7 linked regions of the Rattus norvegicus genome follow. The protein of the gene in region 1 purifies or fractionates together with the protein of each later gene. This does not show direct contact. Links are inferred from orthologs where the notes say so. Each region holds a gene or a part of one and is shown on either strand. Other genes may lie near its edges. The genes, in order: Eftud2, Ppih, Ttc27, Sf3b4, Tssc4, Prpf4 and Aar2.

Evidence for each region.
Region 2: the proteins of Eftud2 (region 1) and Ppih purify together in Homo sapiens (affinity purification with mass spectrometry; 3 studies listed by BioGRID and IntAct, with this or other methods). This does not show direct contact. The link is inferred for Rattus norvegicus from reciprocal best matches to the Homo sapiens genes EFTUD2 and PPIH.
Region 3: the proteins of Eftud2 (region 1) and Ttc27 purify together in Homo sapiens (affinity purification with mass spectrometry; 5 studies listed by BioGRID and IntAct, with this or other methods). This does not show direct contact. The link is inferred for Rattus norvegicus from reciprocal best matches to the Homo sapiens genes EFTUD2 and TTC27.
Region 4: the proteins of Eftud2 (region 1) and Sf3b4 purify together in Homo sapiens (affinity purification with mass spectrometry; 3 studies listed by BioGRID and IntAct, with this or other methods). This does not show direct contact. The link is inferred for Rattus norvegicus from reciprocal best matches to the Homo sapiens genes EFTUD2 and SF3B4.
Region 5: the proteins of Eftud2 (region 1) and Tssc4 purify together in Homo sapiens (affinity purification with mass spectrometry; 4 studies listed by BioGRID and IntAct, counting the BioPlex papers as one, with this or other methods). This does not show direct contact. The link is inferred for Rattus norvegicus from reciprocal best matches to the Homo sapiens genes EFTUD2 and TSSC4.
Region 6: the proteins of Eftud2 (region 1) and Prpf4 purify together in Homo sapiens (affinity purification with mass spectrometry; 4 studies listed by BioGRID and IntAct, with this or other methods). This does not show direct contact. The link is inferred for Rattus norvegicus from reciprocal best matches to the Homo sapiens genes EFTUD2 and PRPF4.
Region 7: the proteins of Eftud2 (region 1) and Aar2 purify together in Homo sapiens (affinity purification with mass spectrometry; 5 studies listed by BioGRID and IntAct, counting the BioPlex papers as one, with this or other methods). This does not show direct contact. The link is inferred for Rattus norvegicus from reciprocal best matches to the Homo sapiens genes EFTUD2 and AAR2.

The regions. Positions count from the first base shown.
Region 1 is NC_086028.1:88,332,658-88,336,157, forward strand, and holds part of Eftud2 (116 kDa U5 small nuclear ribonucleoprotein component), read right to left. Parts: intron 3,104-3,500; coding exon 3,038-3,103; intron 2,363-3,037; coding exon 2,327-2,362; intron 278-2,326; coding exon 187-277; intron 1-186. UniProt on the Homo sapiens protein: Required for pre-mRNA splicing as component of the spliceosome, including pre-catalytic, catalytic and post-catalytic spliceosomal complexes. Component of the U5 snRNP and the U4/U6-U5 tri-snRNP complex, a building block of the spliceosome.
Region 2 is NC_086023.1:138,206,781-138,210,732, forward strand, and holds the start of Ppih (peptidyl-prolyl cis-trans isomerase H), read right to left. Parts: upstream 2,801-3,952; 5' UTR 2,777-2,800; coding exon 2,711-2,776; intron 2,533-2,710; coding exon 2,468-2,532; intron 2,149-2,467; coding exon 2,125-2,148; intron 1,866-2,124; coding exon 1,821-1,865; intron 793-1,820; coding exon 750-792; intron 379-749; coding exon 286-378; intron 1-285. UniProt on the Homo sapiens protein: PPIase that catalyzes the cis-trans isomerization of proline imidic peptide bonds in oligopeptides and may therefore assist protein folding. Participates in pre-mRNA splicing.
Region 3 is NC_086024.1:26,451,237-26,455,465, forward strand, and holds the start of Ttc27 (tetratricopeptide repeat protein 27), read right to left. Parts: upstream 2,801-4,229; 5' UTR 2,634-2,800; coding exon 2,534-2,633; intron 1,929-2,533; coding exon 1,751-1,928; intron 1-1,750.
Region 4 is NC_086020.1:186,420,361-186,424,466, forward strand, and holds the start of Sf3b4 (splicing factor 3B subunit 4), read left to right. Parts: upstream 1-1,306; 5' UTR 1,307-1,543; coding exon 1,544-1,577; intron 1,578-1,954; coding exon 1,955-2,083; intron 2,084-2,527; coding exon 2,528-3,070; intron 3,071-3,295; coding exon 3,296-3,502; intron 3,503-4,106. Other genes in the region: Mtmr11 (myotubularin-related protein 11), read left to right, coding at 40-186. UniProt on the Homo sapiens protein: Component of the 17S U2 SnRNP complex of the spliceosome, a large ribonucleoprotein complex that removes introns from transcribed pre-mRNAs.
Region 5 is NC_086019.1:207,681,070-207,684,744, reverse strand, and holds Tssc4 (U5 small nuclear ribonucleoprotein TSSC4), read right to left. Parts: upstream 2,201-3,675; 5' UTR 2,083-2,200; intron 1,834-2,082; 5' UTR 1,769-1,833; exon of another isoform or gene 1,659-1,768; 5' UTR 1,650-1,658; coding exon 684-1,649; 3' UTR 501-683; downstream 1-500. UniProt on the Homo sapiens protein: Protein associated with the U5 snRNP, during its maturation and its post-splicing recycling and which is required for spliceosomal tri-snRNP complex assembly in the nucleus.
Region 6 is NC_086023.1:80,874,136-80,878,310, reverse strand, and holds the start of Prpf4 (U4/U6 small nuclear ribonucleoprotein Prp4), read right to left. Parts: upstream 2,801-4,175; 5' UTR 2,726-2,800; coding exon 2,699-2,725; intron 2,026-2,698; coding exon 1,848-2,025; intron 1-1,847. UniProt on the Homo sapiens protein: Plays a role in pre-mRNA splicing as component of the U4/U6-U5 tri-snRNP complex that is involved in spliceosome assembly, and as component of the precatalytic spliceosome (spliceosome B complex).
Region 7 is NC_086021.1:165,520,524-165,524,023, reverse strand, and holds part of Aar2 (protein AAR2 homolog), read right to left. Parts: intron 2,842-3,500; coding exon of another isoform or gene 2,797-2,841; coding exon 2,040-2,796; intron 1-2,039. UniProt on the Homo sapiens protein: Component of the U5 snRNP complex that is required for spliceosome assembly and for pre-mRNA splicing.

The sequences.
Region 1 (3,500 bases):
AAAGTCCCTAAAATTTAAACCCTATGGCAAAATAAAGATGGAAGTGAAGCCAAGGGCAGGAAACTGCTGCTGAGTCACAGGGAAGGGAACCCTTGAACGAGAATAAACATTAGCAACACCCTGTAGTGCCCTGGGAAATGGAGCAGAGGAACCGGATGAGGCCGTGACAGGGCAGGGCCCACCCACCTGGTGTGTCCATGATGTTGAAGAGGTAAGACTTCCCTTTGGTGTCCGGCAGCACCACCGTCACAGGAGTACTCTTGATGCCGACGCCTCTCTGAAATCCAGACAGATGCTCAGGACTTCTCCCCGAGCCGGAGGAGTCACTCAGCTCTGGGGTTAGCAGTTGCCAGCTGCTTACGTCAGACACCCTCCTTGTAGCTGCTTAGAGTAATTCTTTTTATCTAGAACTCTATCTGCCATGATTTTGTTGATAGAAAACATTCACACACAGACATACAGACACACAGATTTTGTTTGTTTGGCTTGTTTTTTGTTTTGTTTTTTTAAAGATTTATTTATTATATATAAGTACACTGTAGCTGTCTTCAGATACACCAGAAGAGGGCATCGGATCTCTTTACAGATGGTTGTGAGCCACCATGTGGTTGCTGGGAATTGAACTCAGGACCTCTGGAAGAGCAGTTGGGTGCTCTTAACCGCTGAGCCATCTCTCCAGCCCTTGCTTTTTGTTTTTAAGACAGGGTTTCTCTGTGTAGACCAGGCTGCTCTCAAACTGAGAGATCCCCCTGTCTCTGATTAGAGGCCTGTGCACTCACCCCCCCCTTTTTTTTTTTGCTTAGCCTGTATATACTAAGCAAGTATTCTACCACAGACTTACATCTCTGGCCCCAAAACTAATGTTTTGGGGGGCAGGGGAAAGAATTCAATAGGACTGAACATGGGTCTCTCACATGCTAGGTGATCAGTAACCTCAGCTCTAATGTTTTGAGACAAAGTCTCACTAAATTGTTGAGGCTGACATCATCCTAATTCTGTACCCCTGGTAGACTTTGAGCAACTTCCTTCCTGGCTGGCCTCAAACTCAGCGATCCATCCACTTGCCCCTGCCTCCTAGTCCTGGGATTAAAGGCAGAAGCCACTCCACAAAGATGGCTTTGAACTTCCAATGGGCCTTTTCAGGAGCTGCGATTACAGGTCTGTTCTACCTGTCCATCAGCAAGATGGTGCATCTCCCCATACTGCAGGGTGATTAGTTACGAAGGGAAATGAGAAGAGCAAAGCAGTGACGTAAGCGCAAAGACCCCAGGTCCTTCCTTGGAAACAAAGCCCATGAGCATCATAAAAATAAAAAGAAGGGGGATTGGGGATTTAGCTCAGTGGTAGAGCACTTGCCTAGCAAGCGCAAGGCCCTGGGTTCGGTCCCCAGCTCCAAAAAAAAGAAAAAAAAAAAAAAAAAGAAATAATCTGGGCTGAGGGCGTTTGTTTTTGTTTTTAAAGGAAAGAAATACTTAAAGGTTCTAAAAGGAAGTAAGTATTTTAAAAGGGAGAAAAGCTAGGCACTCACACTGTGCACCTTTAATCCCAACACTCAGGAGGCAGAGGCGGGAGGATGTCTGTGAGTTCAAGGCCAGCCTGGTTTACATAGCAAATTCCAAGACAGCACTACATAGAGAGACCCCATCTCACTCACAACTCCCCACACACCCCCCAAAAAAATAAGAAAAAGGGAAAAACTTCCAAAACTCCACAGTGAGGTCTGTGACAGGCACTGGGAGGCCGCAGCACATCATGTTGAGTCTGAGGCCAGCATGGACAATAGAAAAAAACAACCCAGACAAAATCCCACCACACTCAAACAGTGACTGTCAAAAACACTAACGCTGCTGTTAGGATGGCTTATCCTGGGCAACACTGCCCTAAATTCCTTTAGTTAACCCTGTGCACATGTGAGAGCCTTCCACATAGTTCGTTAGGGAAAAAAGGGACAGATTATAAAGGAGGGGACAGATCCAGGCTGAAAGAGACAAGTGGCACACAGGACTACAGCCCTTCACAGAGAAGCCCCTCCTGGAAGCAGATGGTCCCACCGGAGACATTTTAGGGACTGTGGGATACTGAAAAGATCGTGTGGAGTTTTACAAATACGAGCATCAGCTCTCATCATCATCTACTCGAGGACTGGGAGGCTCGCACCTGTACTCAGCCTGCCTTCCCAGTTCTCACTGTGGGATGACTGAGAGCAGCGAGAGAGAAGTGCAGAGCAAGGCTAAATGGCAGTGCTCCGGTGAAGGCTCCTATCCTCTACAAACCTACGGCTGGTGGGTCTGTGTAGGCAGAGTCTGATTTCCCACGACTCACTTACCTCTTGTTCTGTGAAGAGGATGTCAGTATAGCATAGCTGAAAAACAATCATGATGTCAGCGCCCGAGCTCAGACTTCTCTCCCATACGCAGACCATCAATCAACCTCCTCGCCTCCTCCCAACTCCAGGTGCTTCCCTCAGGAGGAAAACTGACTGAAGACAGCAGTGTCCCCACAGCAACCCACTCAGCGAGACCAGTGCCCTCCCAGATGGAGATGCAGGGGTGGGAGTAAGTGGACACTACAATCACGTGTGGCTGGAGAGCTAGGCTGTACACACTACACTGGATCTTAGGAGCCTCCAAGTCTCACACGTCAAACAGTCAATTTGGCTGAGTATGAACATTTATTGCACTGAGAGTTGCTGCCACAGTTGGCCTTGTTCACAGGCATTTAAATTTACCATGAAAATAACAAGGCCCGACTGTGAGATATTTATAGAGCAGGCTGTTAATAAAATGATAGAAAAGAGACTGTAAAAGTCAGGATACAGCCTGAGGAGGGATCCCAAATGCAGAACAGATCACCTAAAAATACTGCAGGTTAACATTCTCCATGCTCGAGAAAGCTCAAATTATCTGCTTACGCCTATTAATAGATTCCAATCACAGCAGCAGTCTAAAGACACCTCTATTGATGAGTGCAGGTAAGGGACTGGAGGGAGCAAGGCATCCCGCTTCATTCCCGACAGTTCAGCCCAAGTTCTACTTACATCTTGATCATAGCGCTTTCTGATTTCCGGATGCGTCTGTTCTATTAAACAATCTACAAAACAGGTCTGAAAAAAAAAGAGATGGGTAAGACCTGCAATTGTGGGAGCAAAATCTGTGCCATTCTCCCCAAGCTCCCAATGCACCACATAGTTCAGACATGAAGGAAGGTAGAGAAAAACAAAGAGAATTATGGGACAGCGAAGGATTAACACAGAAGCCACAAGATTAGTTTTCAATGAAAGATGAACTCTCTCTTGGAAAGTCCTCCCTCAGGAAATAAAGGTTATAAAACCAGAGTAAGGTTCAATTTCCCTTTCTCTGTCTAGATGTAAACACACGACTCAGGCATTTGAGTGGCTGGAATGTTGTAAGGGTTCCACAAGAGCATGCAGGGAAGGGTTATAGTAGTGTCCCCACCCACCCACTGAGCCTTAGAACTTCATAAGGCCTCAGAAGAAGAGC
Region 2 (3,952 bases), on another chromosome or scaffold:
CTCACGGCAACCAGGGCAACAACAGGTGAGCACCAACCGTGGAAGCCCATTGAACACTGAGGCAAAAGCCCAGTCTTGGTACATATAAAGGCACAACACAAGTCAGAGCTTAGTCTGCTTTCTACAGCTGTGAAAGCCCACCCAACAAGATCAAACCACACTGAGGAAGGAGGAGGGGCTAGGTGCAGGTGAGGCCTAATTCCAAGGGACAGAACTGGGTGTCAAGGCACCAGAAACCAGTCAGTAATCTAATCTAACCCCAAATCTTAACTGAACCTCACTTACCATGGAAAGCAGGCCTGGAGCCGAGTGTCTAAGTTTAAAATTTTCATCTGCAAATGGACCCCGGTAAATACTGGCGACTCCAGTACCATCGCCCTGAGTAGAGAAGAGACACATCAGTGGCCTGGAGTGTTGGGCACCCTGGAAACCAGATGATAAGGCCGGGGAGAATGGTCCACAGGTAAGGGGAGCCAGCCAGCCAGCTGTCCTAGCTGAACCAAGCAGCTTTTCATCTAGTGCAACCTTGTCATGAGGCAACAAGATAGTGACTGACAGAGGGCGTCAGATCCCATTACAGAGGGTTGTGAGCCACCATGTGGTTGCTGAGATTTGAACTCCGGACCTGTGGAAGAGCAGTCAGTACTCTTAACTGCTAGACCATCTCTCCGTCCCTTAGCTATTATTCTTAAATCTCAAGACTGGGCCTTGCTGGAAAAAAATTAACAAAGAAAAAAAGCAGTACTTACATTAACAAAATCTCCACCCTGAATCATGAAATCCTTTATGACCCTGAAAGAGAGTTAAAAAAAATCCTGAGGGAAGATTCAGTGGTTCAGCCACTGAAGTGGTAGATTAGCATGTCTTCTGGAGTTCAGTGTTTATCACTGAGGCTTAGAGAAAGTCTTTGTCCCTGGGGTGAGCCAGCTGAGGGATTAACAGTTTTAACTCAGGGGCCCCTTTTAAGTTGCCCTCAGGTGTATGAGTCAGCACCTCAACAACAGAAAGGAACTGAAAACCTGGCAGAGACACACCTACAGTCACCAAAGGAAAACAAAACAACATCATCAAAAAACCACCTCACTTTGGGGAAAGAGAACACAACGTGAATGGACTGCTGCACACACTGAAACTCGAGGATGATGTCAGCTAGTGTACCCAGGTCCTTAGCTTTGCTTAGCCTCTTTTCCCTACCTTGCAGAATTCAGAAAACACATCATAACACCTCACAAGAATGCCAGGGGAGGATTACAGACTGCAGCTCTAAAACCCTTGATATGGGAGACAATGGACATTTTCAGGATTAAAATGGAGCAACTTCTGTCAAACTCATAAGTAAACATAGAAAGCCAGGAGATCGTGAAGGTCAGGTTCCTACAGACGACTGCCTGGTAACAGTGGTTACCGCAAAGTCTCTGCTAAGTCATAACCCAGAACCAGGGAGGGTTCAGCGGGTAAAGTGCTTGCTGTGCAGCCTAAGGATCTGAGTTTAGATCTCTAGGAACATGTGGACATGCTCCTGTACTGAACAGGTACTGAGTAGGTACAGAGTGCTTTCCCTGGCACTGTTTCTACAATCAATATGACATAAAGTCAGGCATGACTTAAGGCACTGTGCACAGACTACATGGTGCTGAGTACCGAATCCAGGGTCTTATGAATGCTGGGCAAATTCTCTACCAAGCTACAGCCTCAGCCCTGAACATGCCATTTAAACAACAGACTTAATCCTCCACAGGTTTTGGATTCAGGTGTACAGGACTGCCTGTACAGATACCAAGAGATGACTGCATTTCCAGTTTGCCAAAAGCCTTCCTTACCTGTGGAAGGTGCTTCCTTTGTATCCTATCGGAACGCCGTCTTTTCTGTAAACACAAAGGAAGACACTAGGAATGATGAAAAATAAACGTGGGTCTTCCCCATTTAGGATGCACGAGAGGCTAAGAGGACTCTCACTAAGATCTGGATGGGAGAAGAGATAAAGAACACATCCAAGGAGTCATCTTCTCTCTGCATATCATCTTTCATTACTAGAGACCTGTTCATGGTTCTCCAATACCCTCACCAAACGTCCAGGTCACCCTTCAGGAGTTGGTGGAGAAGTCAAACACATCTGAGACTGACCTGAATTCTCCAGTGCAGAACTGCCTAAAAAGAAAGAAATCAAGAAAGAAACAGTGAACGATTCAGCCGCCGTACCATCACTGCTTGGAGCACCTCTAATCTCTGGAGAGGAGAGTTCAAACACTGGGGCCAGCATGCCCACTAACTAACTGATCGGGCAGATGTCAGGGCACGTAGACTAGTGATTTAAGTTGATATGGGATCGGTCAAAGTCGGTAGCTATTTGGCCAGTGCAATACCCAGAGCACTACTCTAAGGCAATGAATAAATGAACAGAGGCAGACAAGGCAAAGACTGAACCGAGGGCTCAGCTCTGGTTCACTTGGAGCATACATATCTTTACCTAAAGTTCTCTGCCGTCTTAGGCACCACGTCTGCAAAGAGCTCGATCTTCATGCGACCAACTTCCTGCAAGAAACGGGAGATGCAATACTCAGCCCACGACCGCTGTCCATGCAGCTCGGAAGCTCCCACCTCCACCGCCTGACCCAGCCTATCTCGGGAGGGCTAGAAGGGCCCCCTCGGCTGCCTCCTTTACCCGAGTCCAGTCAGCCCGCACAGGCCCGCTGGGCCGCCCGCATCTCACCTGGCCGCCAATACTGACATCAAAGAAGACCACTGGATTGACGGGACTTGAATTTGCCACCGCCATGGCTTTGACTCGGAAGTAGAAGCCTAACTTCCGGTGACAGGTCCCGCGAACTTCATCGGAAACGCAGACGCAGTGGAAACAGTCCGCGGTTGCGCCCCGCCCCGGAAGTGTGGCAGGTACTGAGGGAATTTTAGCTGAGTTGGTCCGAGCTGCGGGAAGGAGCGCAGGCGTCTTTATCAAAGTCTATGGGCTTCTCCACTCTCTTGACTGTATTAGCGTAATACAAATGAATCTTTTGCAGACAGCTTTTCCCGAGCAGTCACACTTGGTGTCCTCTGTTACAGCCCATGAGAGGAGGACCCTCTGGGTCACATTCCATATTTTAAAATGGTATGTTATGTAGGGTTGACGAAGTCGCGATGCTGGAAATGTAATTTCATTCTTTTTTATGATTGTAAAATGTTTTTATTTTTTAATCGATTCACTTTACACCCCGAGATCGCTGCCCCCTCTCCTGGTTACCCCCTCCTACAATTTCTCCCCCATTCCCTCTTTACCTTTTCTTCTGAGAGGGTAGAGATCTCCTCTGGTTATCCCCCACCCCCATCAAGTCTCTGTAGGTTAGGCCCACTCTCTCCCACTGAGTCCAGACAAGGCAGCCCAGCTAGAAGAAACAGCCAGGCATCTTTTGGGATAGCCTCTACTCCAGTTATTCTGGACTCACATGAAGACTGAGCTGCACATCTGCACTGTGTGCGTGTGCGTGTGTGTCTAGGTCCATCCTGTGTATGTTCTTTGGCTGGTGGTTCCGTCTCTGAGAGCCCCAAAAGATCAATGTTAGTTGACCGTTAGTTTTCCTGTGGAGTTCCTATCCCCTCAGAGGCCCTCAACACTTCCCCCAACTCTTCCTTAAGAGTCCCCAAGCTCCATCCAATGTTTGGCCATGGTTCTCTGCATCCTTCTGAGTCAGCTGCTGGGTAGAGTGTCTCTCAGAGAACAGCCATGCTAAGCTCCTGCCTGCAAGCATAATAGAGTAGTATCATTAATAGTGTCAGGGATTGGTATTTGCCCATGGGATAGGTTTCTAGACTCATTTCTGTCACAAGCTTTTAGCTCATTTGATATAGAAAGTTTCAGGTTTTAAAACCTTTGTGCTAGTAATTTCACTTTCCAGTTAATCTCTTATTGTCCTTATTCAAGTATGTGTTTATTTGGGGACTTAAAAAATTTTTTTTA
Region 3 (4,229 bases), on another chromosome or scaffold:
AGGAAAGGAAGAGGGGGGTGAGAATGGGCACCACAAGGCTAACTTCACACAGTACAAACACAGCAGCCAACCAACAGGGACCAAGAAGAAAGCCAGGCCTGACGCTGAAGCCTGCAATCCCCACTGGAGGCTGAGGCAAGAGGATCACAAGTTCAAAGCCACCCTGGACAACTTAGTAAGACCCTGCCTCAAAATAAAAAGCATAAAAAAGGGCCAGGGATACAGCTCAGTGCTAGAATGTGTGTCTAGTAAGTGAGAAGCTGGAGGCTCAACTCCAGTAACAAAAGAAGAAAGAAAAAAAGAAGAAGAAGAAATAAGCTGGCCATGGTGGTGTATACCTATACTTCCCAAATTTGGGAAGCTACAACAAAAAGATTATGCATTAGAAGCCAGCCTGAAGTTTTTTACTGCAAGCTTCCGGCCAAATGAGTAATACAGCAAGACACAGTCACAAACAACAACAAAACCAAGAATGACACTAGCAAAAATTAGAAAAACTGAGACAGAATTGTATTAGCTTGCAAATAAACAGTAACATCATCGCCAAACTACTTACGACTATGAGTTACATCTTTATTTATTTTTACAACCCAACCTCAGCAGGTACTTGGTTTAATTCGTCGAAGGACTATATGAAACGAGTCTGCAAACATCAGGATAGAATGAAACTGTATGCACTCTAAATGGTTAAGAATTTTGGAGGGTTGGGGATTTAGCTCAGTGGTAGGGCGCTTGCCCAGCAAGCGCAAGGCCCTGGGTTCGGTCCCCAGCTCCAAAAAAAAAGAAAAGGAAAAAAAAAAAAAAAAAGAATTTTGGACAGCTGAGAAGGGGAAAGCTAACAAACATAGGACAATGAGACAGAGGCCTCCAGAAGGCTGAGAGTTGACTCATGTGTAGATATCCTAACGGAAGAATGGTAACTGAGGGATCTATGATAAACACATGGAGTTCCCTGATATCTCCAGAGATAACGACCCAAAACACAGTAAACGTAAATGCAAGCATCTCTCAGGAACCTAGAAACAGCAAGATCCAAGGTACGGGCTACACGTTTAAGAAATTTTAAAGTAGATGCCTCTCGTCCCAGCCTGTGAGAGACAGAGGACATAGAACTCTGGGCGTTTGAGGCCAGCCTGGTCTAGAGTGAGTTGTAGGCCAACGCTACATAGTGAGACCCTGTCTCAAAACAAAACGGAAAAAAAAAAAAAAAAAAAAACCAACAGCAAGCAACATCAAAGGAAACAAGCTGATAGCTAATACTTATCAGACATAAGCATTGGGACATTTAGCAGTGACCACCAAGGACATGTCATTCTTGTACAAAACTCACTTCGATCCTACACCACTCTCCTTTTCCATTCTAGAAGATCTTCTGGACCAGAGAGAGACCTTACGGAGACTACTTGGCACATCGTGAGTCCAGGTATTTCAACAACTACTAGATACCAGGGCCTTCCAGTGTCAAGATGCCACAAAAGTATTCAATATTTATTTATTTATTTATTTGAAGTATATGAGTGTTTTGCCTAGGTGTATACATACATACTACACATGTACTTAGTGCCCACTGGTGTCAGAAGAGGGTGTTGGATCTCCTAGAACTAGAGTTATACAGTGGTGAGCCACCAAGTGGATGCTGAGAATTGAACTTGGGTCCTCTGAAATAGCAGTAAATGCTCTTAACCTCTAAACCACATCTCCAGCCCCCACCCAGTGTGTTTCTCTGTAGAAATTTCAAATAAAATTCTACCTTTCAATTTCTTCCAAATCCGTAGAGCAATCCAGGAAATTCACTATCTGCTTCTCCAGGTAGCTGTCAATCTTTTCTTCGGCCATCATTGTTGAATTTAAAATATTCTGTGTTGTTGAATGCAGGAACAAGGCCTCATAGCTCCCTTCTAACAGCAATTCTAAGAAAACTCCAATATCTGTAATATAAAAAGTGAGTTCAGTAACACAAGAGAATTTAAGTGTAAATGATAATCCATTACATAAATATCTTAATATGCAAAAAGATAGAATAGTGGCTGCACACTCTAATTCTGCCAACAAACATCATCTTTCCTACAATTATATGATACCTAGAAAGACTATGAGCAGCAGATGGTGATGGTGATGGTGATGGTGAAGATAGGAATTCCTTCTTCAGGAAATTCACAAATATTCTAAGTGACACAGGAAAGCTTTCCTTCCTACCTTCAATATTCTCCCCCAGGAAGCCAATCCAAACACATCGGTTCTCTCATGATCCCCTCATATTTCCCCAGGCACACGTTGGCCTCGACATTTTTACAACACTGGTTTGTTTGCTTGCTTGCTTGCTTGCTTCCTGCTAAACTCTCTTTTACTCGTCAGTTCTAAATTTAAAAATCAGCTCAAGTCTGTCTGTCGGAAACTTTTGCCAGACTACCAGATCTCAGACCATCAAGCGAAACTTCCTCCCTCCTGACACCTCCTATGTATCGAGGGCTAGCATCCTTTGTCCTCACAGCTCTGGCACTAGCCTAACTCCGCGAAGGTACAGCTCTCTCACCTGAACCACAGATGCCCTCCTGTTTCCATAACAGCCGCTCTGCCTCCGTGGAGAAGCCCCTCAGAAGCGCCAGCTCCGGCGTCCATATCACCCCCGGCATCGCTGCACCCCGTACAGTGTCCCACGAGGGAGGAGAAAAGCGAAAGTGAGAGGGTCCAATGTCGCCGGCGTCTAGTCAGGACAGGTAGAGTAAAGACACAAGCCTAGAGTCCCATGTGAGGATCCATGTACATGGAGGCAGACATGACAGCAGCGCAGGGAATCCTGGGAAAACAAACCCACGCTGGAGCAGCTTCCTTCTATACGACCAATCGGAAACTCAGTTGTGAGCATGCGCAGAGCATAACTCTAGCGGGATCCGGGTAGTGGGAATGAGTTGAGTGGCTCCGCGTGCAGTGATCCCAGTGGCCAAGGGTTGTTTCTAGGAGAGATGAGTGGAGGCAAATCTGCTTGAAAATATGCGACTACGTGAGGCAAAACTAAGCCCTTGGAGGTTAATACACCGAGGCTTTTCTCTCAACAGACGGGGAGCAGACTGCAGAAGTTGCTTCTAGTGGAGCCCTTGAGCCCCAGACTAGAACTTACTTCGTCGGCATAGGCTATCCTCTGGATGATTCAAAGTGCAAGAAAACCCAAGCTGGAAGTATAATCTTAGCACTGAGGAGGATGGGGAAGGATGGTTTCAGCTTCAAGGCCAGCCTGAGCTTCACCCTTAGTGCCAAGCCAGCCTCCTCTAAGCCTCTAGAAGATTGGTTACCCTCCTCTAGCCTTCCAAGCACGTGACATGTAAATGGTACACGAACATACCTGCAAGCAAAATGCACGTAAAATACACATACACATAAAATTAAAAAAGAGAGTGGCGGTGCACCCCTTTAATTCCAGCACTCCAGAGCAGAGCAAAGGCAGGCAGATCCCTGAGTTCAAGACCAGCCTGCTATACAGAGCTAGTTCCAGGACAGCCAAGGCTACAGAGACCTTAATCTTGAAAAACCAAATAAGAAAAGGGAAAGAAAGGTCTGATTTTGATACTGTCATCACATAAACCTGAAAAGAACCTAAAAATTTCTGCAATTCAGTCGTTAGAACCCAGAACACTTTGCTGAAGTGGAAAAAAAAAAACTACAAGAAAATATATCATCCCACCAGTGTGGCAGCTGCTGGGCAGGAGGTTTGCTATTTGCCTCTTATTTTAAAGAGGATAAATGTTTTCTTTCTCATTCTGCTTCACTGTTGAAAAACAACAGCAGCCGGTCCAGCCCAAGGCTGGCCTCAGAGTGACAGAGATCTGCCTGTTGGGAGCGCTGGAGTACTGAAGCACAGAGATTGGAGAGTGGTTTGTCACCAAACCCAGCTTCAGAACTTTTTTTGGTTGGTTGGTTGGTTGGTTTGGTTTTTCTTTTTAAAAAAATTACTTATTTAGTGACAGTGAGTACAGATGGTTGTGAGCCACCATGTGGTTGCTGGGAATTGAACTCAGGACCTCTGGGACAGCAGTCAGTGCTCTTAACCACTGAGCCATCTCTCCAGCCCTGGTTTGTTTGTTTTTTTTTTTTTTTCAATATGGGGTTTCTCTATATAGCCCTGGCTCTAATTGGAACTCACTCTGTAGACCAGGCTAACCTCAAATTCATAGATACTTCTAACTCCTCTTCAGTGCTGGGATTAAAGGTGTGGCACTGCTTGGCTCTTCTTT
Region 4 (4,106 bases), on another chromosome or scaffold:
TGACAATCTCTCTTTGCACCTTCCTTTGCCTCTCCCCAGATAGGCTCTTCAGCTCTCACAATCTCTGGCCTTCAAGATGAGCTGTCTCATCTTCAGGAACTATTAAGAAAATGGACACCAAGAATATCTCCGGAGGACCACAGCAAGAAAAGAGATCCAAATACTATCCTTTCTCAGATCTGCTGAAACTGCTAGCCATCTCAAAGGCAGGGCAGAGGGCGGGGGTTTGTTTCTGCTGATGTTTATGTCTGACCTTGGTGCTTCGGGTTTGGTATTCCAGTCTGTAAAGCTCACTTAGTAGGCCAGTTTCTGTAGATGGTGCTACCAACCTCCAGCTCTCCTGTCTCGTTTGGTTCCTGGAGCTATTTTTGTTTCTTGTGATTTGAAAAATAAGAAACAAAACCAATTCAGAATGATTGCCTTTTTTCGAGGCAATTCTGTGCCATTTGGATGGTTGTCAAAAGTATGATATCAGAGACCCTTTTCATCAGCCCCAGCAAGGTGTCCTAGAGACCTCATTCTCAACCCCTCAACACTACATTGAAATCTTTTCTTAGTCTTCTGTGGGAATGAGGTGAATAAGGGAGACACCTCCTCCTCCCACTGTATATTTTTGTAGCAGCATTTCTATTTAAGGAGTTCATTAAAGCACAGTATTTCTACACATTGCTGGTATTTTCTTGTATTGAATGAAGATCTCAGCAAAGCGGTGGTGGTTGTGGGGTAGTGTGAACTGAGAAAAGGACACTTATTATTGTAAGGAAATAAAGGATTGGCAGGGCTGGGCAGAATGCACATGAAATATTGGGAAAGCCCCCCCGCCCCACACACACATACGCACACACACCTTTTTTGAGACAAGGTCTCTCTGTATATCAGGCTAGCCTGGAATTTTTTTTTTTTTTTTTCCGAGACAGATTTTTCTGTGAGGCCATGGCTGTCCTGGATCTCGTTCTGTAGACCTGGCTAGCCTTTAGCTCAGAGATCCACACCTGCCTCTTAAAGCTTCAATACCTGCCTGTGAGCACCCTCGGTCTCAAATTTCCCAAGATTGGAGGAGCTCTGACACTTACGGGAAACCAAAATACCTCGAGCTCAAGCCTAGGCCGAGGGCGAATCTGCACGAGCGTTGTGGACCGAATTAAAAATAGGCTGTTTTCAAAGGCAGTCCTGGCCCTGGATATGGCGGGACTTTGCCTAGCACACGTCTCTGCGTCACAGAACATACAAAGCTTGGTTTAGCATTTCAATTTGCGCTTGGGGTGCAGTGTGATGCCCTAACAGTCTGGAAGCATTCAGGGCTTTAGTTAACTGTATCAAGACCGGCTGATTCACTTCTGTTCCACCCCGATTGCTGCGGCAGCTCCAGAGCACCTTTCCCTTCTGTCCGACACGAATCTGACTCCTAAGATGGCCGCGATCGCTTCCGGCTCCTCCCTTGTCGCCGGCCCCGCCCAATGTGAGCCTTGGCCCGGAAGTGGAAGTAGAAACTGAGGTCAGGGGGGCGGTGCTGCTGCTTAGAGACGGCGGGAGCCCTTTCGCCATGGCTGCCGGACCGATCTCCGAACGGAATCAGGGTAATTGGGAGAAAAGAGACCAAGATAGGGGCAGGGAAGTGAAGAGCTGATTAATGCCAGAAGCATTTCTGCTTGGGTGGGAGACGAGATCCCTCTGATGTGAGACCGACCTCTGGGCGCCTGGCTCGCCTCGAGGCCAAGTGGAGGCCCAGGCCTATGAAGAGTGATGCTTCTAGATCCATTCTCTTTAAATACTCCTCTACCAAGAAGACAAAATTCTCCGGAAATACAGGATCAGCAAGAATGCCAAATTAGACGTAGCGGATTTTTCTAGACTGTGGAAGCTGAGGGAATTTCGGGTCTTTAGTTAACGTTTTTGGTTTTTATTTTACTTTTCACTCTTGACCCTCTCCTTACCTCCTGCTTCTTCCCTTTAGATGCCACGGTGTACGTGGGAGGTCTAGACGAGAAAGTGAGCGAGCCACTGCTATGGGAGCTCTTTCTCCAGGCAGGGCCAGTGGTCAACACCCACATGCCAAAGGATAGAGTCACTGGCCAGCACCAAGGTGAGTACATGTCGAGAATTAACCCTGTATAGCGTTAACGGCCCCTGAAGAGTCACAACTCCAGTCACAACTACTTTGGAATGAGCAACCTAAAGGTTCTTTTCCCCCTTAAGCTTCAGTTCAGTTTTTGGAATAGTTTCTCTTAGCACTAGTTACTGGAACCATTCTCAAGTGAAGTAAGATTATTCTTCTGTCATGTTCTTTTTATTGTTTTATTTTCAAGACAGTGGTTCTCTGTGTAGTCCTTGGCTGTCCTGGAACATGCTCTGTAGACCAGGCTGGCCTCAAACTCAGGGCTCCACCTCTGCTCCAGCATGGTGGCATTAGAAGCATGAGCCCCCACCCAGCCCTTACCTGCTTTGTTCTTTGTGTTTGCAAACTGGTGAGTTAATGTTTGATTTTGAATCTCTTCACCTGAGTGGTCTTTTTTCATTGGTTTCCTAGGCTATGGCTTTGTTGAATTCTTGAGTGAGGAAGATGCTGACTATGCCATTAAGATTATGAACATGATCAAACTCTATGGGAAGCCAATACGGGTGAACAAAGCCTCGGCTCACAACAAAAACCTGGATGTAGGAGCCAACATTTTCATTGGAAATCTGGACCCAGAAATTGATGAGAAGTTGCTTTACGATACTTTTAGCGCCTTTGGAGTCATCTTACAGACCCCCAAGATTATGCGGGACCCTGACACAGGCAACTCCAAGGGTTACGCCTTCATTAATTTTGCTTCATTTGATGCTTCAGATGCAGCAATTGAGGCCATGAATGGGCAGTACCTGTGTAACCGCCCTATCACTGTGTCTTATGCCTTCAAGAAGGACTCTAAGGGTGAACGACATGGCTCAGCAGCTGAACGACTTCTGGCAGCCCAGAACCCGCTGTCTCAGGCTGACCGCCCTCATCAGCTGTTTGCCGATGCACCCCCTCCACCCTCTGCCCCCAATCCTGTGGTTTCATCCCTGGGTTCTGGGCTTCCTCCACCAGGTACAGCTTGTAGTTCAGACTATGCCAGTGAGGCCCATGGGAGGGAGGTCAGGGGGCAGAGGAAGCCCTGGAAGAGTAAGCTGTGAAGTCAGTGGGCAGTGAGGGAGGAGTGAGGATGCTGGTGGGAGGGAAGAAGTTGGTGCATGTCCTTAGGAAGCTGGAGTGTAGCATGCTGGGAAAGACATTCTGTCCGATACCACTAATTGTCCTTCATTTCTTAAACAGGAATGCCACCTCCTGGTTCGTTCCCACCTCCAGTGCCACCTCCTGGGGCCCTTCCTCCTGGGATACCCCCAGCAATGCCCCCACCACCTATGCCACCTGGGGCTGGAGGACATGGTCCCCCAGCAGCAGGAACTCCAGGGGCTGGACATCCTGGTCATGGACATTCACATCCTCATCCATTCCCACCAGGTGGGATGCCCCATCCAGGTAAGTGCGCTGAGCTTGTAGAGGGGCCTTTGTACTGCTTCTCCCAGTGCTCTTTGTCTTGGGTGGAAATAGTCCAGAGTCCTTTTCTTCAGAAAACAAACAATACTTTGTACATGTTGGTGTGCTCCTGTGTTATCTCCACCTATAGCTTGTGCTTGGCAAAAGCTCTCAACCTCTCCTCTGCTTCCAAGGTTGCCAAATCTAGAAGACATTTCTGCTTTTGGTTTTTCGAGACAGGGTTTCTCTGTGTAAACCTTGCTGTTCTGGAACTCCCCCTGTAGACCAGGTTACCCTTAAACTCAGGGATCCTCCTGCCTCTGCCTCCCAAGTGCTGGGATTAAAGGCATATGTATTTTTAGATTTTCTAATGTCAACTTTAGCAACCTGGATCAATTCCTTTTTTATGTATGTGTAGATTTCGTGCTTGGTTCTCTTTTCTGTGTTTATCTGTAGTGTTAAATGTGAAGGTTATGATTTATTCTGGGTCTCTGTTCTGAGGTTCTTGGTAGACTAGAAAAGGCTGCTGCTCAACCCACAGTTTACTTTTCTCTTTCCAACACCATCTTCAATGGCTCTCACTTGTAGGAGCCCAGTCCACAACTCT
Region 5 (3,675 bases), on another chromosome or scaffold:
GGTGCTTAGCAGGCCAGGCTGGCTAACTTGGTCCAAGTCCCTGGCCTCCACATGAAATACTCACTCGTGCATCCTTCTCCTCCTCCCTGGCCCAGCTTCAGCTGAAGGATCTAGCATCAGCTGTGTCTTATACAGAGGTCACAAGTCCTGGAGACATACAGCCCGGACACCAACCATTTGCTGGCTCACAACTTATCCTCTTCCTAGAACCCGTGGTCTGTGCGGGCCCAGTGCTGGGGCTGCACTGGTTTCTGGGGGGCAGGGGGACCATATTATGCTCATCCAGTACCATCAGGGGCACAAGGCTGAACACAGCTACGAGCCCACTCCCTCTGGGTAGGTTACCAGTGACAAACATCAATGCCCATGGCAAACCTTCACAGCGGTCCTCACTAGAGCGGGGAAGGCAGGATGAGGCTGGTAGAGATGCAGTCCTGTAGTTAGCTGCCCAGGACTGTTTGGACATAACTCTTGAGTGGGGCCGAGAAAAATTCACGAAATTCAGTAAATACTCAAAACCTTTATTATTCACCCCAAACAATGGGGCACAAAGGCCTTCAAGGTCCCCTGACCCACAATTCCCAGTCTCTGCCAGAGTTGAGGCCCACACATCCCTACTACAGAGAGCCCACACTGTCCCACCTGGACTGGGCAGGTGAGGAGGTAGAGCGATGGCACTGCAGTCAAACTGAGGGTCCTCTCTCAGACCCTGGCCCCTCCGGGTTACTATCCCTGTTCCGGAAGTGGTCTCTGCTCCGCTTCTTGCTGCCATGGAAACCAACAGTTTTCATACCTATGGGGCCTGATGAGGACTCAGGACGGGCAGCTTCTGAAGGCACTACCACCTCTGGCTGTCCCTGGTGGCCACTCCATTCCTCAGCCTCAGGCCCGGCGAGATGGGCTAGCTCCACTGAGGCCTCACCCCCTGCACCTGACACAACCCCCTTCTTTAGGACCCTCTTCCTCTCAGCCCTAGCCTCGCTGCCCCGCACTGGTTTGGTGAAGACCACTCTTCCCTCCCCACAGCTAGAGGGGTCCTGGTTGAAAAAGGGCACATAGTCTGTGGGGGATGCCTGGCTTCGAGAGCTCAGGAAGGCCAGGGCAGCATCACGATTGCTCTGCTCACTGGTTTCAGACACATCTTCCAGACTGTATTTGGTCCAACGCTCAGGGTGTGACACATAGTCAGGGACAGGGTGTACCCTGGTCGGGTCAGTGTTCCCATGCACTCTGCTCAAGCTTCTTGCTGGAGTCTGACTTGGGGGAGCCACAGGCCGCTTGAAGCTGCAATTGTCAACCACACTGGTTTGGGGAGCAGAGCACGGTTCCTGCCGGGCTGCACTCTCCAGACAATCAAAGATGCTGTGGCTCCGCTGGGAGAAAGTGGAGCTCATGCCTCGGAGGTGGAACGGCTGCACTGCAGTGGTGGGAATGCCCGTGGGGTGCGAGGGAGGGTCATCAGGGCCCGAGTCCTCCTGGCTCTCCCCAGAAAGCCTCTCTGGGGACAACGCTTGGACCTCCACACCACTAGGTAAGCTGAGGTCAGAGTCCGAGTCGCTGAGGGAGACGGTGTCAGAAGGCAGGGTGTCATCCTCGGTGGGTTCCTCAACCTCCAAGCCGGCCTCTGTCTCCGCCATAAGACCTGACATCCGTCCCACCTGTAGCAAGGCAGTCCCAGTTCTGCCGTGAGGGGTGTACCTAATGCCGCACCCCTCCCCGCCCTCCCGGGCTCTTTCACCTCCACTGTGTGCCAGGCGCCTCTACTCACAACCGGACCGGAGGCCTCGCGAAGCTGGGTGGCTAAAGGGTATCCTAGCGTGCACAGATGTGGAGCTGCAGGTTAGGTGGGGTTAAGGAGAGAGTCAACCATGAGATCATAACAGTGTGGACATACAATAGATGAGCGCTGGGAGATGCTGGTGACAGGGGATCTCCATCAGCGGCTCGTCCCATCACGAGCTCTTAGCAAAGCGCAGCCTCTCTGGGCACACACTGAAGGCACCACCCGGGGTCCGGAGGGGGAGGTGGCAGAAACAGGCACGGTACTGGCCTGGTCGCGGCCCTAGGGAGGCCAGTGCTCACCGTTCCAGCATCCGTACACGCTTCAATAACCTGCCACCTTTCCCGCAGCGTCCCGCCAGTTCCACGGGATTCCGGCCTGTTCAATCTCGCTTGGATTCCTGGGAAACCGAGTCTCGGGCTATCAGAATATTGTGGCTTCAGCGCCCGAGAAACTACAACTCCCAGAAGGCAATGGGGTCACTGCCTAATGCCTGCCGGGACTTGTAACATGTGTGCCATCCCGAAGACCGGAGCGCACACGGAAATCCACCCAGAAATGACGAAAGGGGAAAAGGCGGAGCCGTGATTCCCACAATACTCTAGGGTTAACTGCCAATCGCAAAGGGTTGAGGCTTCTAGCGTCGTCCGTCGGAAGCCACCTGGGCCGGGTCCGACACGAGGAAGTGCGTCACTACGCACTGCGAGCTACAACCAGTTTCCCAGACACTTCCGGCCCTGGGCGGAAGTGGTGCGGGTCTTGTGCTTTGTTGGCTTTCTGGAGTTGGGCGGGACCAAGGTCCTGGTTGGCTCTTGGCGTATAGAGACGTGGTGGTCCTTGTAATGGGTTGGTTGGGGCTTCATAGATTCGAGGCCGTTACCGTGGGCACTGCCTGTCTGTGCTTCCTGACACAGGCACGGACGGACGCTTTAGGTGCTGGACGCTGACCCTACTATTCAAGGCCACACATAATCCTCCTCCAGGCCTGGGACTGTTTTCTTGCATCCTTAGACACCAGAGTCTGAGGATCCACTGGGCTGCTGCATTCTCTCCTCCTTTACTATGTTCTTGAAGCTGTGCAACAGGCTTCCAACAGCCTTGGCCTGGTGCCCATGGGCCTCACAACATAGAATATAAAGGTTCCCTCAGAAGCCAGCCAAGCATGGAACAGGTTGCCCTGGCGTGGTGGGTGGAGGTGGCTGAGACCTAGAATGCCCTAGTACAAGCTTGGGGTTCACCGACAAATCAGCCTACTGCTGGGACCTGAATCTTAGCCAGGACTTCTCCTCTCTAGTGGCCAATTAACCCAGCAGCCTGGGGGAGGGGTGCAGACAGGAGTCAAAGAGAAAGACAGTGGTGGTTGCCCCTTGTGTCCAGGAGGTTGCTTTAGCCTGATCCTCAGTTCACAGGGGTGAGCTCAGCGGACTGCCTTTTATTTCTTGAGACACAAGCTAGAACCATCCAGCTCAGTGGAATATTTCCAACACCTAGATACCTGAGATGGGGTAATGGTCTAACCTTTACTGTCTTGTCCCTCAAAAGGAAAGTGTTCTTGCAGTTTATCCCCAACATTCTGTGCTGGATTCCCCTGCCTTGTGGCTCCTCCTACCCGACTCAGCCGACCTGGCATTCCCAACAGATGAGTGGAAATGAGGTCAAGGCTGGTGTTAGGTCAGCATTGAGCTCCCAGTACAGGGAGGTACAGAAGTGAGGGAGTACTCAACATGGAGTGCTCCCAGGGTCCCAGCCCTCCCCACCCACTGTGTTCCACAGGCTCTATTGGACCTGCTCACCCTGTACCTGGCAAAGTTCAGAGCTGACGAGCCAGGTCTCTGACACCACTGGCACAGGAAGAGGTCTGGCAGTCCCATTAGCATGCCTGATTTTTTCCTCCT
Region 6 (4,175 bases), on another chromosome or scaffold:
CTGCCATGCCATGAGACGCTAAGGAAGACCCTGCCCCAAAGTGGCTCAGAGACCATTCCATGTGATGAACTGCAATGTCTTTATTGTACAAAGTTTTTTTGCTCTTATAGAGACATAATGATTCAGTTATGAGGAAAAGATTTAACTTCCTCAGCATCAAGTATCAAATAGTTTGATCTTTGGATTATACTGTGTTAAAATGTCTGATTATTTAAAACCGCTGTTTGGCCACAATAACAGAGAGATGGGGAGAAGCTCAGGGTGAGAGCTCAGTGCCTGTAAGTTCAGCACACAGAGGCAGCACAGAGACCACCGGATCAATGTCATACTTGGCCACAAGGTGAGACTGAGGGTCATATAGACCTTGTCAGGGAGAAAGGACAGAAGGAAGGGCTAACAGCAAGAATATTCACTATCTGAGCTGCTGATTAAAAAAAGAAAAAAACAAAATCAAAGTACTATGAAAAACATTTGAAATATTCTCACTTGTAATATTAAAATTTCAGGCAAGATTTACTTCTTTATTAATAAGTAAGTATGTCCATCTCATTAACACTCAAATTTCCTTCGGTGTTTAGAAGTAAACTATGTAAAGCTGCACATATACACCCTTCTATCTTACTTTTTAAAGCTTACCACTCTCAGCTTATTAAATGATGGCAAACACATAAACCTAAGTGATGCTTTAGACTGAGAGCAGGAAGATGCGGGCTACCTCTTCCATTTATTTCATTATCTCTTTACATGGCTTAGAACATCTCTCATTTGGAAAGCCTGACAGAGATGTTGCTTCTTGCCTGCCATCTGCTGAAACAGTACCTCACACACATTAACTAGTGAGAGGAAAAAATGATCGTGAAACACGGGACTCCTCTGACAAATAGGAAAGGCTTTTTGCGTACTATGGTGACTAGCTTTGAAACTCACAACAAACACTCACATTGGGAATGAAGACAGGCTTGAAGACATTAAGAATAGTGGAAGTGTGTATGGATAAAGTGTGAGGATTTTTTTAAATGCTCGTAATTACTTAGTTAAATCAGTCAGATGCTGGCGGCACATGTTTTCAATCCCAGCACTCTGGAGACAGCAGCAGGTGGACCTCTGAGTCTGAGGCCAGCCTGGCCTAGGGCTACACAGAGAAACCTTGTCCCGAAAACCAGAAACGAAAATGAAAACACAAACAAAAAACCCCACAAAAGTAAAGGAGAGAATCCTATAAACAGTTATGCATTAATGCCAAAACTACATTACCTCTCCCAAAGACAAATACACCTGATGAATCCAAACCCAAACATCCACTGAGTATGCAGATAACCAGTAATTCCTGCAAGGAACTGTATAAAATGTAAGAAAACCACTCGCTGGGTAATGCCAGGTAGGCAAAGTAGATTGAGGTAAAAACAGAAGGGTAAGGTTGTATGCATGTGCATGTGGAAGTTGGTATGTCTCCCCAACATTCGATTCCACCACAATGAGCTTTAAAAAAAAAAAAAAGAAAGAAAGAAAAAGAAAAAACAAGCCAGCAAAAAACGTGAGTTCTGGGGCTCAATCTCAGATCCTAATGGTCACACAGAAAAGCTTTCGGCACCTGAAGTAGCTTCCCAGACCAATAAGTTTTGATCCTATAACATGACTCATCAGAGGGGCACAGTCGTGTACACCTGATTCTAGTACCAGGGAGGAGGCAGAAGCAGTGTGAGGTCACAGGCAAGAGTGTAGTGGAAAGATGAGAATGTGGTTCAGTGGCAGAACAGTTGCCTAGCATGCAAAAAACCCTGGGTTGGATTCCTAGCACTGTTAAAAAAGGGGGGGAGGGGGTGTGTGATTTTCAACTTGCATCTTACCAGACGTTATATTAATATTTCCTGCTTCAATGCCGGCTTTGAGTCCTTCTTTTCCCAAAATCCCAGACTCTCCTTTGGCCAGGCGTTCCCGCTCTTTCTCTTCCAAGCTTCCATAATAGATGTGTGGTTTCTTCACAACAGGAGCAACTAAATCGTCAGGTGCTTTAGTTTTGGTTGTCTGTTAAATCAAAGACCCCGATTAAGGTTTGGTCCTAGCAAACCATGCTTTCCAAAAGAATGAAGGAAATGCTGAGCCTTCATTTTATTTCCTCTCACAACTAGGACAAAGTCGAAAGTGACTTTGCGCCGAGCTCACGCTCTCGTTAAATTTGGCACACAATTACAATTAAACAATTTCTGTCTGATATGTCTTGGTTTGTTTTGGGGCCTGTTACTTTAATCTATTCGAAATGCAATCTCCGATTTTACGAAAATAACTTCTCGCCACTGGACATACACCCAAAACAACCCAAACAATTCGGCGCACCAAGTCACAATGTTACTGGAATACACATTTCAAATACTTTCAGAGCCTATTAGAAGTTGGGAGGCCTCATAAGTACCAGTCGTACAGCTTACGTCAAGACACTGCCCGATTTCAAAGAACTGTGCTTTGGAGCAGTCAGAAAAAGTGTTGTTCACTGCTCAGGGCTTAAGTAAGAGCAGTGCAAAAAGAGCTGCAGTTTAGGCGTTTAGAAATCAGGAAAAGGCTGCTAAGGTCCACACCACGGTCCCCCAGCCTTCCTCCTCCTCCTCCTCTGCCCGGACCCGTAAGGTAACGGCCCTTTCCCACGGGGACCGCGTCCTCCCTAGGAGAGGATAAGCATGAACTTAGATGCGGAACTCCGTACCGTGGAGGAGGCTCGTGAGGAGGCCATGCCGGGCTCTGGAGCCGCGAGGCCCTAGCCAAATCCCGTTCTGCTTTTCAGACCGGGAACCGCGCGCCTAGCAAAGTGGAAGTGCGTCACTGGCCGGAAATGTACCAGTTCGTGCTCTAGGAGTCGCGAAGTATCTTGGGAGTGGTAGTTGCCAAGTGTCGGCTGTCATCGATGGGCGTGGCCTTATAGAGCGGCACAACCTCTCGGGAGAAGAGGCGCGTGGGAAAAAAAGGCGCAGAGCAACTTGGGAAGTGTAGTTCGGGCTGCGTAGCAATGGAGTCAAGGTGGGAGTTGAGGTTCTGGGAAGCTTCAGAGGCCTGAAAAGAGGTAAGTTTGCGAATCGCAAGTCTAATCTGGAACAAACCAAGGGTCTCTGCTCTCCTTCGGGAGGCCTTCCGTCATTTTGAAACCGAGGCCTGTGCTGCCATTGAAATCTCTCCCTAGACTTCTGCAGCATTGGAGCTGGGAAAGAGGACTGTTGTTCACGACGGAAGTTCTCCGGGGGCCCCTGGTAACTGGGTGGCTACGAAGTGATTTTGTGCTTTAAGAAGACATTAAACTCGAAGAGCCTTCTAAGGCTAAAATAGAGATGTGGTGGAGGAGCTGCGGCCTAGTTTGTTGTTGTTTTACTTGTCTACAGCCTGTTCTTTTTATATGTTCTTTGAAATAAAGGGTCCAGGGAGGCGCCAGATAAAGTGTATACCAGCAGCTGCAGTTGCAATGATTGCTAGGCCGTCAGAGATATTTTTTTTTTAAACCCTTACATGAAAGTTGCGGGGATTGCAAAATATTCGCGTTTGCTGAGCTGAACAGACTCATTCTCACTCTTAAGCCTCTTTCTTCCCCGAACAACTCCAGTTAGAAGAGCACTTCCACTTCGAGGGCTTACTAAATGCCACGTTACGCGCAAGGAGCTTATTCTATCTTAGTTATTTAAGTCGCGGGACAACAAGAGTAAAGATCAGAAAATAAATTCTGGTGAGAAAAGGTAATCCGTCGTTCTGGAGCCACAGTGTAGTAGGGTTAGTAATGTGGCGGGTGGACTGCCGCGCTTTTAACCCGTACTCACTGTTGCTCTCTAGTGGTGAGGCTTTCAGTTCATACCCAAGTAGGAAATTATTTTTCTTAAGTATTTCTTCCCTTTCTCTTTGGAGCTGGCTTCCATTTCTCTACTTAGGGATCTGGTAGAAGGTAGTATCTGATAGAATAAAGCAGTTTGAATTGTCACAGGCCAGTGTTTTGTGTTGACCATATGGCCCCTTGAGATGTGATATAATGTGACACTCCTGAGAGAAGTGTAAGAAGTGTAAATGTTTCGTATACATCGTAGTCTTTTGTTTCATTCTGCTAGCATGCAATAATAATTTATATGGATGCACACTATATCGGAACTTTTTTTTTGCGGAACTTTCACGAAGATCATTATCACAACTTTTTATTCTAGTGGTCT
Region 7 (3,500 bases), on another chromosome or scaffold:
GAGATCTACCTGTCTCTGCCTTCCCTGTGCTGGGATTCAAGATGTATGCCACCTATGCCTGGCATGGATATATTTTGCATATTGAAATGTTTAAGAGATAGAAAACAAGATTCCTAATCATGTTTAGCAAGATCCAGGGGTTACTCATATAACATAGTATGTCATGCATTACAATGCACCTAGTAAAGATTTATTTGTTATGTGCATTGGTGTTCTGTCCGAGCGTGAGGGTGCCACATCCTCTGGAACTGGTGCCACAGACAGCTGTGAGCTGCCATGTGGATGTAGGAATTGAACCAGGGTTCTTTGGAAGAGTAGTCAGTGCTGTTACCCACTGAACCAGCTCTCCAGCCCCATGATGCACCTATAAAATATCCATTTTATCATCAGTTCAGCCAGGGATATAAAAAGGTCTATAACCAAACTTGTCACCAACCTTCCCCACTAGGAAGTTATGTGATGCCCTGGACAGTTTATAGACAATAAGGACTGGCATTAGAGGTGTTACAGGGGCTGGGGAGCTGCTCAGTCAGGGAAATGCTTGTCTTGCAAAGAACATGGACCAGAGTCCGGACCCAGAACTGGAATTTAAAAAGCTGAAGTGGTGGTACACGTGCTCTCACCCCCAGCACTGGAGAGGCAGAGACAGGCAGATGCCTACCCAGGGTCTACTCCCAGCCAACCTAGTCTACTTGGTGAGTTCGAGGTCAATGAGAGGCCCTATCTCAAAAGAAGAAGGTCCGCAGAACTTAAGGAACAATACCCCAGAGGCTAACCTTTGGCTGCCATATGTGGCACGTGCACAAACACACACAGAGAGCATGCCAAAATGTTTGTTGTCACTAATGTTCAGAAATAGAAAGATGGCAGCTTTTCAACCCCTGAACTGAAAAGTCTAAGAATCTATGCTGGGTGCTGTCAAAGGTGATGAACTGTCTCCCACCACCTGCTGAGAGAGGAGGCAAATCTGGCAATTCTTGCACAATCCAACCCTGAACCCAGGCACCTTCACCACAGTGCTCAAGAGGCTCTATTTACAACAGGAACTAGGAGCGCCTATGGAGTGGCCACTGAGAACTAGTTGCACAGCTCTGGGCTATACAGTTGTAAAGCAGATGAGCGGTGATGGAAATGCTGACAGCACAGCACAGCACAGCACAGCACAGCACAGCACAGCACAGCACAGGACATTGCCCTCTAATCCTGTCCCTAGAAAACCCACATACACTCCTACAATATACCTCAACTGAAAAGACTGGCATACAAAGGATAAGAGAAATACATAGAAACACACAGGAAAAAGAGAAAAAAGAAAAGAAAAACTGCACTCAACCATGAAGATAGTTGTTTCTAGGTATAGGACTTAGAGTAAATTTTATTTTTATTCTGTGATAAGTACATATTATTTTAAAATTAAGAGTGTAAGCAGCAATAAAACTATAACAATTAAAATAAAAATAAAAGTCCTGGTCTAAGCCAGTAAAAAGAGAAACATTTTAAGAAGTCAAAAGCGAGGTACTCTCTTATTCTCTTTCCTCAGCCTTCTCTCCCCATTCCCCTCCCACCTCTGCCTTTCTCTGTCTCTATTCCCTCAACTCCCCTCCCCATGCCCTAAATAAACTCTGGTAAAAAAAAAAAAAAAAAAAATTCAAAAGCAAACTGAGATGTTAGGTGAAGGCTTCTAGGAACACAGATCAGGCCTAGCAACTAGGAGCCTTGGGCTCCAATCTCACCGTGACCACTATTGGTCAAATCCTTCCTCTTTGCAGGGGTAGGCTATGTCAGCAATTTTCAAACATGGGATTACGTACACAGGCTCATGTAAGATGCTCAAATCATTAGATAAGACAGCCAGCCAGCTAGACCCATTTTAGAGCTCTTGACTTAAAGTCTCTAGGCTACGGGTGAAGATGCATTCCAATGACTACTAGCAGTCCACCTCCTACCTCCTTTAAGAACACTGGGCAGATAAGCCAAGATGAGCCTCTATTCTAAGCACCCCCACTAGCATCCTCCCCCAAAGCCTAGCTCCTTCTTACCAAGGACATCCTGGGGGTTGCCAGGGAACTGCTTGCTGAGCACAGTCTCGAGGGCATAGCTCAAGTCCATGCTGTGCCTGGTGATCTCTGCTGGTGTGGCACCTGCTGGGAACATCTGAGTGGGCAGCTCTGAGAAGCGGATCTCTGTCCCCGCCCTGGGCTTCATCTCAGGCAGCCGGGCCAAGCCCTCTTGGTAGCTTCTGCACTCGGTGCCACAGAGCGGTAGGTTCTGTTCCACCCTGTCCTTGGTGTACCTCATGGAAAGCACGGGAAGCACATCTGAGAAGGCGCAGATCTGCCGGCTCTCAGGCTGCAGCTTCTCCATGGTGGCCTCACTGATGAAGTTGGTGAGTGAGATCCACTTCTTGAGTGTACCATATGGGTAAGGTCCCAGAAACTGGTCCAGCTCTGGGAGATTGGCTCTCATGGCTTCTACTTCAGCCTCTGGAGCTGGAGACAGGTCTACCTCTTCCTGAACTGCATTCCAGCGCAGGACTGTCAACTCCCGCTGCTTCAGGCTAAGAAAGAAGCCCATCCGAGGGCCCACCTCCCTGGGATTGGCCTTGTCCACAGAGCTGTAGTAAAGGAAGTGGACACCAGGGGGGATCATCTTCACACCCCGGAACTTGGGCCCCACCTCCCAGGAGTTGTAGTCAATGCCAAACTCTGTCCCCTTGGGCATGTTCAGAATGACCACAGTGGCTCCTTCAAAGAAGAGTTGCTTGGCTAACTCAGGATCCATCTGCATGGAAGCCATGAGGCCAGTGGAGGGTAACCAAAAGCAGGACTCTTTTTTTGTCTCCTAGAACAGCAGAGAGAGGCAGGGGGTGGGAGAGAGTGAATGAATATGAGTTGACCAGAATATGGGGAAAGGCTATTTTATTACTTGCACATTCTCTATATCAAATATTGAGTTAGATCCTGACAGAAATTAACTCCCTTTAATCCCCATGACAACCCTGCATCTGTCTAACAGATGAGGAAAATCAGGATCGAAGAGATTTGGGGGTGTGATTTAAGGAGCAATAGTCTTCATTCCACCACGCCAGGGGCATCCCTTAAAGACAGGTGGCCATACAGTACCAAATGCAAACCTGCCCGCTGGTACTGCAGGCTTGTGTCTACTGCCCATCAGATGTCTTTCTCTCAACAGCAGGGGAAGGTGGAAAAGGTTCAAATGGCTCATTTTAAACTAGAACAATGCAAAAGTCATCTTAAGCTACAATTCTACCTAAAACCTGCTACTGGAGAATACCATAAGATCTGTCAAAGACGACCAAATCAAACTGGCTACCTAATTTCCCATGAGCATCTAAAGTTAACAAAAAGTCTGAGGTGTGGAGGAGAGCTTTTCAAACTCCCTTCTTTCACTCATCAACAACCTCGTTGAAAATGAGGGAGAAGAAAGGGCTGGTTTCCTAGTTTAAAGACAACATGGCAGGGTGCAGTGGTACACACCTG